3 linked regions of the Sus scrofa genome follow. The protein of the gene in region 1 purifies or fractionates together with the protein of each later gene. This does not show direct contact. Links are inferred from orthologs where the notes say so. Each region holds a gene or a part of one and is shown on either strand. Other genes may lie near its edges. The genes, in order: NEDD4, LAPTM4A and LAPTM5.

Region 1 (3,648 bases):
ATAGTTCCTAGTTGGATTTGTTAACCACTGAGCCGTGACAGGAACTCTGAAGGGTCTCTTCTTTAAAGAGGAACAGAAGTGCCTCTGCTGTCACTGCCACTTACTACATTTTCAACATGTTACTTATCTATAAATATGTACGGAGGGTGGGACCATATCTAGAAGGTAAATGTATACAGTACAAAATCAAAGATAATTTTTGCGGGGTGATATATACTTTCTCTCTTATCTATATGTGATCCACACTAGAAGATGTAATATGGTTGCATCTACCGAAAAGCGATTTCTGAAAATGGAAGCTTTCCATTACCTTCCAAAACCACTGGATGACTTGATGATTTACACTGTAGCCATTTTTGTACTTTGTGTGTTCTCTCCAGTCATTCACGTCGACATCTCCCAATCCACACATGAGAAGCTACAAAATAGAAAATGTCAAACCACAAGCAAGAAAAATTGGCACAAAGGTCTTGTTTGAAGATAAGCACGATATTTCTCACCTCTAGTTCATTTTCATCAAAAATTTTGATGAGATCCTGTGGAATCAGTTCAAAAAATCCCTAGTGGAAAGAATATATTTCAAACTCCGGTTAGCAGAGTCAGAGGGTAACCCTGTATTTCAGCTTCGGGCATTACTGGAGAAATCCCAAGGCCACACAGATTCCTACCACTACACACCCGTGGGCTCTTAACTGACAATTCAATACTGGCAAGACGAGATATGTGTCTGTTCTCTCACTGATCCCTCAAAGTGGCCGTTTTAAAACTCTGCACTTTTCAAGCCTCCTTCTCTTCCATATCATCCCTTCTTCACAGCAGATAATATCTATTTTAGAATGAAAATTGAGGCGACGCTGCAGGATGGAATTCCCTCAGCCTTCTGCATCCCCCCAGACCAACCAGCACCAACATCCATGAGGGCTTCCTCCCCCGCCCTGGGGAGAGGGACCACTTCCTCTCAGTGCTTCTTCTGCCTCAAGGATGTCATCTCACGACATTTTTATCAGCTCACTCTTTATGCATCGAAATTCGTTCAAGCCATATCTACCTTAAAAACAAAACAAAAAGGCAAGCCCCTCTCTTTTCTCGTCACAGTCATGTTCTGGACAGTGTTACTGTACCTTCCAAAGCTACCTGCTCACCTCCATCTCTCCCTCAACCACTGCAATCTGACCTCTTCATCAGTGCTCTCCTGAAGCTGTCCTAGAGAAAGTCAAAGACAGCTTTGCAGCTGCCTCTGATAAACACTTTCTAGATCCCCACAGTATCGGACTTCTCTGCACTATGATATTGTTGACAACACCTATGCTCTTGAAACTCTGTCTGCTATTCATGGTTTATCTCCTATGTCTTCATCTGCCTTAGCTGATTTCCACTGATGTTTCTTCTGCTGTTCATTCCTTAAATGTTGGTGTTCTCACAGCCCCCCGTGTGGCCATCCACTGTCACCATTCTTAGGGTTCTTTGGAATTTTCCATCCTGTCTAGTCCACAGTTGCACTACACACATGCAGATGATCCCCACGCTGCCATCCTTTAAATCACCCAATGCTATAGCTCTCCCTTCCTGAGGGCCATTCAGATACACACACAGCTCTCTTCCCACCATCCGGACCGTTTCTCACCCAGCTAGCCTCCGCTGCTAGTCCTGCCCTCCTCTAGTTCACTGCATACCCCTTCAAGAATGATCTGGCCAAAATGTAACACCGAATCCTGGTGTTTTATGTTTAATACCATTTAATGCCACCTTCTTTTCTCACTGTCTGGATTTCAGTGAAAACTATACATAAACAGGCCCGCCATCATCTGGTTCTGCTCAGCTTTCCAGGCTTAGTTTTAGCTCTTTCATTCCTTTTTTTTTTTTTAGGGCCACACCTGTGGCATATGGAAGTTCCCAGGCTAGGGGTTGAATTAGAGCTGCAGCTGCCAGCCTATACCACAGCCACAGCACATCTGCGACCTACACCGCAGCTCACGACAACACTGGAGCCTTAACCCAATGAGCGAGGCCATTACCCTCATGGTACTAGTTGGGTTTTGCTCAGCCACAATGGCATCCTCTTACCAATAAGGTAACTGCTGGCACTTTCTCTAAGGTGTGCATAGTCCGTCTTACTGCCAGACTTCACATGTGCTGCTCCCTCTGCTTAGAGTTGCATTTCCTCCATCTCTGTGGCTGGCCAGTCCCTGCCCCTGCCTCCTCCCCTCCCTGCTCTGGTGTCTACACCTCTCCTCTGCTTACCTAGCACTTCAGGTTCCCTCTGTCCATTTCACCCTTTAGATGCTCTGTTCCTTGACAGCAGGCCCTATGTCTTTTTGTCTTGCATAGCACCAGACACAGAGTCAGTGCTTGCTACTGAATACAGGAAAAAGCATGTGATAAATATTTAACAGAAGGCCTTTATTAGCGTAAGAAATGATGACAGCCTAAATGTCCATCAATTGGGAAGAATAACCTGGGAATTTACATCATGAATAAAATGCAGCTACAAAGAAAGGTCACTAAATATGTTGATCTGTTAAGACCTCCAAAAATATTTGATAAGAGAAAGCAAGTCACAAGCCACCATGGACAGTGTGAGCCCATTACAGAAAGAAGCAAATGGTAGACTCTGCCACCCCTCTAGCACTCGTGTTCCTCTGTTCACCTAAGGTTACATAAGGTGGCAGGAGTGGAACTATAAAAGGTGAGAGGAAACGACAGTTATTAAGGGGGGAGGTCAACATTTACTGTATGGATTCTTAAATGACTGTGTTTTAATTGAACACCTATTCATTTACTATTTTGCTAATACGAAGATATACTTACAAATGGTCTTAAAAAGTAAGCCACATGCTACTTTTTCTCTGGTATAATAGGGCCCAATTATTTAAAACTTATGGACTGGACTGGGAAATTACAGAACAGCAAACAAAAGAAAATGAATACCTCCTTAAAAGCAGCCATTTGCTTCTGGATTCGGTTTACAAATCGCCATTGTATTACAAGACTAAAAGAAACAAAACATTTCATCTTTTCCATAGGAACCAAGAAAAAATGTTAAGGTACATGTATTTTGATTAGAAACAAACAAACAAAAAAAACAAAGGCTAGGTAGGCCCAAGGAAAAAGTTGAATGTAATATGACATTGTGATAAAAAGAGAAAAAAGAGGGAATTTCCTGGCGGCTTAGTAGTTAAAGACTCAGCATTGTCACTGATGTGACTGGTTTGATCCCTGGCTCTGAGAGCTTCTGCATGCTATGGATATGGCCAATAAATAAATAATAAGTAAACAATACTTTTTTATTTTAAAAAAGCAAGAAAACAAAATTGAGACTCTGACTCATTGAGAAAGAAGGCACAAAATTATTTCCCTTAAAGTATTTATAGTTACAACAAAATACTTACTAAATATATTCCTTTTTGTTCTTATTGGTGACAACTATTTCTGATCCACCATTTTTCAACTCATGTTGATGTGTCTAAAATTAAGCATAATACCTTGATATGTTATTTTAGTGAAAAAAATAAAGTATGCATATGATAGCTATAAAAGAAATCCAGTGTTTTAAATTAAATCCATTCAAAAGCTAAGAAAACTTGACATCTTAGTTTCACTAAAATACGTAATGAGTCAAATGTCAAGAAAAGCAGAAATTCTTGCTGA
Region 2 (3,648 bases), on another chromosome or scaffold:
ACATCCATTCCACATGTTGGAAACCTGGGAGGACAGCACAGCGGCAACTGAGGGCCTGGGAGGTAGGCCTCCCCAACAGATTCATGAAATCCGCTGCATTTACCTCCCCAGAGGAAAATCAGCTTCCCCTCTGGATCATACTGATGTTTCCGGAAAGCAACACAAGATTCAGCTGATGGAAGTACGCTGCCTTAGAAGTTCCCAAAGCCAAGAGCCTGGCACTGCTCACAATACTGTCCCCTGTCTGATCCCCCCCTCAAAGTGTGATACTTGGAGAACACTTATGAACCCAACCTATTGGCCAAACTGACTGAGACGAGCAGTGCAGGGTGCCTCTAGCCCGTGTTCTCGGGATTCCAACTGGGAAATGCCGAGACGTGTGAATTTACCCTTTTCCATACCCTAAACCACAGTTACGGCAATGACAAGAAAGTGGAGATCCAGGTGCTCCTCTTGGGAATAATCCACAGTGGCTCCCCAAGTTTTACTATGTTAAAGGGGCCTTCACCTGTGGAGGTGCTTCAAAGGCAGGATACACAGCAATCTCTGGCATGTTTCTGTTGTTGATGTATTTGTAACAGTTCCAAACACAGTTGATTAGATAAGCCTAAAAGAATACAAACAAAATTTACATATGCTGGAAACTCAGCAGACTCGGTGCTCTAAAATAAGCGTCTTAGAGTGCTCTCTCCCGCTTTCTCTACGGAGAAGGGATCTCTATCCGCTTGGACCTAGCGCAGGCCAGGTGCTCCCCCTACCTGCCCTCACTCAAATGTCACAGGTTTTATTACCACTGTGGTTGTTGGCTTGCTTGCTTGTTTGTTTTTGGCTGCACTTACGGCATGCAGAAAGTCCTGGGACAGGGAGGAAGCCTGTGCCACAGCAGTGACAACACGGGATTCCTAACCCGCTGCGCCACTCGGACACTCCTATTACCACTATCTAACAGAGAGATCAGAGTTTGGGGGTTCAAGTGTGACCACTGTGCTGCAGGAGAAATGCTACTTCTGAACCTTGGGAATTTTAACTTATTTTCAATCCTAATCATGAACCATGTCCAAAAGCATAATGATGTTCCTTCCACTTAGGAAGAATCCTGGCATTTCTAACCATTTGCCTGAAAACAAAAGGAAGAACATTCCCTAGAAGTTATCTCTACCACCACGTCAGAATAAACACTCACTCACTGCTGACTGCAAGGAGACAAGGTAAAAAGAAGGCTCAGATGAACCGTGTCACTGTCCAAACGCCCCCACCCCCCACCCCCAAGTATTCAGTCAGCAACTCACCTTAAAAATGATGAACAAGGCAAAGAACACAAGAACAATGAACAGGAGGCAGCTGGAGTCCAATGCCAGGAGGTCGTCTTTATAGGGGAAATCAGGCTATAAAAAAGGAGGGGGGTGAACAGCCAGAGCAGAAGGGATTTTTAGAGCAGGCAAACTCTTCTGTATGACATCATAATGGTGAGTACATGTCATTACACACTGGTCCAAACCCCCAGAAGGCACAACACCCAAAGTGAGCCCTAAGTACACCATGGACCTCAGACACATACACCCTGTAACTCAGCCATGGCGCATGTACTCTGTGGTTACCTAGAGAGCATCTTAAGAATACAAACACAAGGCACCCAAGTCAGAACTGATATTCTAATAAAAACTTATAAACAGAATTTAACTCAAAATACTCTCAAGCCTCATCATTAATGCATGCTATTGATCACTTAAAATGTATGAATACCTAGACTACTCCTCAGAGTCTAAACCGAGCTTGTTTTCTCTTTATTTTATATCTTTCCGGCCTCTGGTCTATCTCCTTTACATGACCCCAGATATGTCCCTGGATCACTGAGTTACTCAGTTGGGAGATGCCAAGATTAACTATTCCGTCCTACGTGGGGAAAATAATTTTTTAAAAGCCAAGTGTCAATTAATTTCAACACTCATCAGAAAGGGACACAAAGAAGGTATGCCCCTGATTATGAAGCCTGGGATTATACTATTTCCTGGCGACATATGATGTTTTATTGAGAAGGATCAGCTGTATTTATTTATTCAAATATTTCTTTAGCATTTACTGCATACATGGCAATGAGCCAGGTCCAGGGAGAAGGGTATTACAAAAGAATAATTTAGGATTTACATACAAGCTGGCCAACAAAGAAAATATTTTCCAGTCTGAGACACCAAGTGAATAAAACAGAAGGGAGAAACCACTGGGGTTCTATAAAAGCAGTAGTAAATTCCTTTCGATGTTTTTCTATAAAGTTCATTTTATTTTTTAAAACATACAATTATTTTAATGGAAATGCCAACACAAAGACCCAAATAACTTTACATTTTCATTAAAAAGCAGCACACAGAAATCCCGAAGGACCAAAAAACAAAACAGAAAAACACGAAAGAAAGAAAAAGAAAATCATATCCGCATACCAATCCCAAACCCTAGCTAAGGGTGTTCTTGTGATAAAACTGTTAAGCCTTCATCTAGAAATCAAAAAGGGTCAGCTTCTTGATTTCTAGAAATCGAAAATGGTGAATGCTAGAAATTTTACTCAGAAGGTTTGCAGATTTTCAGCCAGAGATGACAGATCGGAGAGAACTAAGCTTAGGAAGCTGCTGACCACGGCTGAGCAGGTCTGCAGGCTCTGCCCCGGTTCGTCTCCCCAGCCCTATCTCATGTTGCTCCTGTCCCTGCATGTGGGTGAGGCCGCCAAGGTTCTCCTTTAGTCTCCTGACACTGTCAGCTGCCCTCCCGCCTCCAGGTAGCTCTTAGACAGAACGCCTTCTTCTGCACTTTCCCTCCCCTCAGTCCTATGCAGACTCTGGAGGGCAATTCAAACCTTACTTCCCAGGCCAGGTCTGCTATCTGTGTGACACCCACTCACAAAGCAGCCAACACTTTTCCTTCCCTGCTTTTATCACGATGTTAACTCAATAACTGTCAACTTCTGGAGTTCCCGTTGTGGCTCAGTGGTAACAAACTCAAGCAGTATTCATGAGGACGAGGGCTTGGATCCCTGGCCTCACTCAGTGGGTTAAGGATCCGGCACTGCCGTGAGCTGCAGTGTAGGTGGAAGACGCAGCTCAGATCCGGGGTTGCTGTGGCTGCGGTGTGGGCCAGTGGCTATGGCTCCGATTCGACCCCCAGCCTGGGAACTTCCATATGCCTCGGATTCAACCCTAAAAAAAACAAAAAACAGTCAACTTTCCAATTCTTTCACTTTAAAGTCAGTTTTACTGACACAGCTCTAGGACCTAGCAGAGTGCCCTGCACACAGGAAGCAATCAACAAATGTTTTCTGCGTGAATGAATGATAAACTTGGTGGTATGCAAAATGGACTATCTGAAGTGGGTTTCGAGAAAACAACTCTTCTATAAGACAGCATTTCTGAAATAAACTTTCATTTATCTGGATCCTTCACCTCCACCCAGACCTTACGTCAGGCCAGAGTGCTCCCTGCCCCTCCACCGCACGGCTTTGACCTTCGAGCCTCCTTTGCTGCTGTCATGGGGGGCCCTAATTCATTATCGCAGACGAGACCATCATTGCTTAACTCCCCACATACACGCGTTTGCTCCTTGAAGAAAAGAAGTTTTGTTTACAGCTACACCATTCACTAACAGTTTGCCCAGGAGAGAACG
Region 3 (3,748 bases), on another chromosome or scaffold:
CCAGACTCCCCAGCTCACCATGCGTCCATCTGCCCTACTATGCCCACTTCTATGAGCTGCTGGGGCCCCAGCGGCATGGGTATCTGAGACCTCTGAGCCAGTCCACGAGCCCTTGCCTGTCATCCTATAAAGGAAAGACAGGAGTTCCTGTCATGGCTCAGTGGTTAACGAATCCGACTAGGAACCATGAGACTGAGGGTTTGATCCCTGACCTCCATCAGTGGGTTAAGGATCCGGCATTGCCGTGAGCTGTGGTGTAGGTCGCAGGCGCGGCTCGGATCCCATGTTGCTGTGGCTCTGGTGTAGACTGGCAGCTACAGCTCCAATTAGACCCCTAGCCTGGGAACCTCCGTATGCCACAGGAGCGGCCCTAGAAAAGGCAAAAAGACAAAAAATAAAAAATAAATAAAAAAGAAAGACAGAGGCCCAAGGGAGCCTCTTGTACAAAGTCACATAGGCAGTTAATGGCACAACCACAATAGGGACCCAGGGGCCCGCATCCTATGGGGACACCCCTGCTTGCTACCCTGCACTTCCAAAAATGTTACACAAGCTTGAAGAGGCCCCAGGGACAGCCAAGAGCCTGGGCACAGCCAAGGTGCCATTTACGTCTTCCGGGATCATTCTTGCACTGGCAGAAGTTAAACAGAGCAACCTCTGAGCTCCGCCCCAAACCAGGGCCCTGAGGTCTGACAGCTGACTTACAGGTGTGCTGGCAGCAGGCTCCGCGTCTGGGGCAGTCCTAGTAATAAAATACTCAACTACCTGTCAAGCTCTGCTACGTGCCTTGCATATATTTACTCCCTTGATCCTCACAGTGACCAAAGATGCATTATTAGTCTCGGGCCCATTTTTTTAGATGACAAACTGACATTCAGAGAGGTTAAGTAAGCAGCCAGAGGCTGCACAGCTAGGAAGGGATGAGGCCAGGATTTGGCACACAGGAATCTAGATCCAGAGACTGTGCACTGAGCCCTGAATAGCCCCAGCCCTCTGCAGGCTGGGGTCTAGCCACAGCCCTGCCTGCTCAGCCTGTGACAGGAAGCAGATGCAGCCAGGTCTGAGCAGTTTACAACAGCCCACCGAAGCAGGCCGGATTTAGGCTAATTTTGAGGAAGCCCTTCCAGGCTCATAAAAGAACTGTTAACCACAGGCCCTGAGTCACCCTGGGAGGGAGGCACAGGGTTGGGGGCTGGGGAGCAGGGGAACTGGGTGTGGCTCGAAGTCATGGAGTGGGGGATGGGTCTGGGCAAAGCAGAACAGAGACCCCAACCTTCAGGCACCAAGACAAAGGGGGAGCCTCCAGCCCCAGGGTCATTCTGAGTTAATGACACAGACTCCAAACCTGCCTGTGCACACCAGCCTCCAAAAGAGACCCGCTGGGCCCATTCCCCTAGGCTGGCCCCCCAGGACCTCGGGCCCGTCAAGTCACCCTGCTCGTCCATGCAAGATGGAGCTGTCTTTGGTGGGGAGGAGGCTTGTCCCAGAAGCTGGAAGCCGAGAGGACTCTGCCCTCTCCCGCCTCTCTAGAAGCACAAAGGGGAGAGTCCTTCTCGTCCCTTCCAGCAGCCCAGGCCCCAGGGGAAGGGGGGAAGCCAGGGCCTGTGACCTGACCCCATATCCTGGCTACGATCCCAGCCTGCGTTTCTCCCAAGATTTCTGGCTCCCAAAGCACTTTCACATCTGCTGCTCCGTCTGTACCTGGAAGACTTCACAGCTGTCCCTTTGCACCGAGGCCCAAACGGAGCCTCAGAGAGGACCCGAACTTGCATTCATTCGCTTAGAATAAGGACCCCCTCCTCCCGCCGCTGCTCGCTTCGCCCGCTGCCGCTGGGCCCCCTTCCCTCTTCTGACAGAGTGGGAGGCCGAGGCCCAGAGCTGGGAAGGGCTTTGTCCAGGGTTCCACGAAGAGGGGGTCCTCCCATTGGAGGGGTGCTGCTCTCACAAGCACACCGGCTGTCCCCCAGCTGCCCACACACTCACCACATGGTAGACGGCCAGAGCAGTGGTGGCGATGCGGACATTGAAGCAGCAGCAGGTCTGGCGGGTGGCGGCCGTGCGGGTGCTCATGGTGCCACCTCCCCTCCTCGAGGCGCTGGCAGGGAAGGAGTTGGGCGCCTGGAGCAGGGCAGAAAAGGGGAAGCCGCCGGCTGCCTTCCTCACTTCCTTCCTGCCCTTCAGACAGGCAGGGGCAAAGGCGTCACAGCTGGGGCGGGGCAGCAGGGAAGGGCCCCATCGAGCATGACAGGCGGCCCCTGCCACTTTGGGGAGGGGCTCCACCAGGGAGGGCAGACCCTCGCACCATCAGTGCCTACCACGTGCCAGGGCTGGCGGGTAAGGGGTTATATACAGGACACTCACCACCATCCTTGGAAGCAGGGACTGTCACCAATCCCACATCCAGCCAGAGACACAGAGGTCCAGAGAGGTCAAGGTATTCACCCCAAATCACACAGCAGTTAGCGTGGGCGGGCAGGATTCCAACCCAGGCCTGTCGGGCTACAAAAGCTATTGTCTAGTAGTTCCTCTGTGTTCTAAGGCTGTTCCCGGATGCGCTCCTCGATCCTTTGAGGGAGGTACTGTTATTATTCCTGTTTTACAGATGAAGAAACTAGGGCACAGAGGGGGAAAGTGATTTGTCTGAAGTCACACAGCTAACCCGAAGAGGAATAGGGATTTAAGCCGAGGCTTGACTGGTGCTAGAAGCTGCCCCCTCAGGGCTGGTGTTTTCACGCTACCCCCAGCCTTGGAGAGAAGCATGTCTTCCTAAACTCTGTCCGAACCAGGACAAGAATAATTGCTGAGCAAACCCATCAACTATTGGTCAGGCCCTGGGCTAGGCTCTTCCCACTGCTGGGTCACTGATGCCTCACAGTAACCTGGGAGACCTGCAGTCAAGCCCTCCTTTGTGAGCCTCGAGGCCCCCTACTGCTCCTGCGCAATCAGGGATTTCCCCCCTCACTCTTAGGAGAAGCTGGAATTAATCTACTGTGACTACTAAGCAATCTACCCTGGGATGTATACTCCCTTCTCCCACGAGAAGTTATCCATCCACACTGCAATAAAGGAAGGGAGCATGAGGCATTTGCAGAATTCCCATCAGAAGCCTGTTCTGTCTAGACACTGAGCTCACTTGCTAAGTGAAACGTCCAGTGGAGAACACAGCCGGACCTGCCGTGAAGTCCCACCCTCTCATGAGCTCATGCAGTTAGGATTGGCCACTATAGCTGCCCATCATCTCTGCACCAGGAGAGGTTATAAAAGTTCTCTAAGCTCCTCTCCTTGGCAGGAGTTTCTCTGTGGGACCTACAAAATGTGGTTGGGGGACTTGATCAAAACTTTTTCTGTTTGCCAATGACACCAAGAGGTCTCTACAAGCCTGGGGCTCCTGGGTGACCTGGCTAAGCCCTTCCCTGCTTCATTTTCAAGCCTGTCTTTTTCTTTTTCTTTTTCTTTTTTTTTTTTTTTTTGCCTTGCTGAGACCAGGCATCATAAAGTTGGTACAGTATAGTGGTTAACACCTTGGTCCCAAGGCTCATGCCTGGGTTCAAATCCTGGCACTTCCTGGCTGGGTAGCCAATGGAGCAAGAAAAGCTCTGTTCTGCCCAAGAACAGCAGGGCCAGGCTGGCTAGAGATGAGGACAGCAGGGGCCAGCAGGGGCCAGCAGAACCCTGAAGCCAGGCTGAGGAGTCTGGACTTAATTGTGCCAGGAATCCATTTGAAAATGGAATGCCATAACACATGATA

The links.
Region 2: the proteins of NEDD4 (region 1) and LAPTM4A purify together in Homo sapiens (affinity purification with western blotting; 3 studies listed by BioGRID). This does not show direct contact. The link is inferred for Sus scrofa from reciprocal best matches to the Homo sapiens genes NEDD4 and LAPTM4A.
Region 3: the proteins of NEDD4 (region 1) and LAPTM5 purify together in Homo sapiens (affinity purification with western blotting; 3 studies listed by BioGRID and IntAct, with this or other methods). This does not show direct contact. The link is inferred for Sus scrofa from reciprocal best matches to the Homo sapiens genes NEDD4 and LAPTM5.

What each region holds. Positions count from the first base shown.
Region 1 is NC_010443.5:116,059,559-116,063,206, reverse strand, and holds part of NEDD4 (E3 ubiquitin-protein ligase NEDD4), read right to left. Parts: intron 3,464-3,648; coding exon 3,390-3,463; intron 2,990-3,389; coding exon 2,929-2,989; intron 561-2,928; coding exon 501-560; intron 419-500; coding exon 311-418; intron 1-310. UniProt on the Homo sapiens protein: E3 ubiquitin-protein ligase which accepts ubiquitin from an E2 ubiquitin-conjugating enzyme in the form of a thioester and then directly transfers the ubiquitin to targeted substrates. Specifically ubiquitinates 'Lys-63' in target proteins.
Region 2 is NC_010445.4:118,165,241-118,168,888, reverse strand, and holds part of LAPTM4A (lysosomal-associated transmembrane protein 4A), read right to left. Parts: intron 1,386-3,648; coding exon 1,290-1,385; intron 608-1,289; coding exon 509-607; intron 1-508. UniProt on the Homo sapiens protein: May function in the transport of nucleosides and/or nucleoside derivatives between the cytosol and the lumen of an intracellular membrane-bound compartment.
Region 3 is NC_010448.4:87,388,169-87,391,916, forward strand, and holds the start of LAPTM5 (lysosomal-associated transmembrane protein 5), read right to left. Parts: upstream 2,204-3,748; 5' UTR 2,071-2,203; coding exon 1,984-2,070; intron 1-1,983. UniProt on the Homo sapiens protein: May have a special functional role during embryogenesis and in adult hematopoietic cells.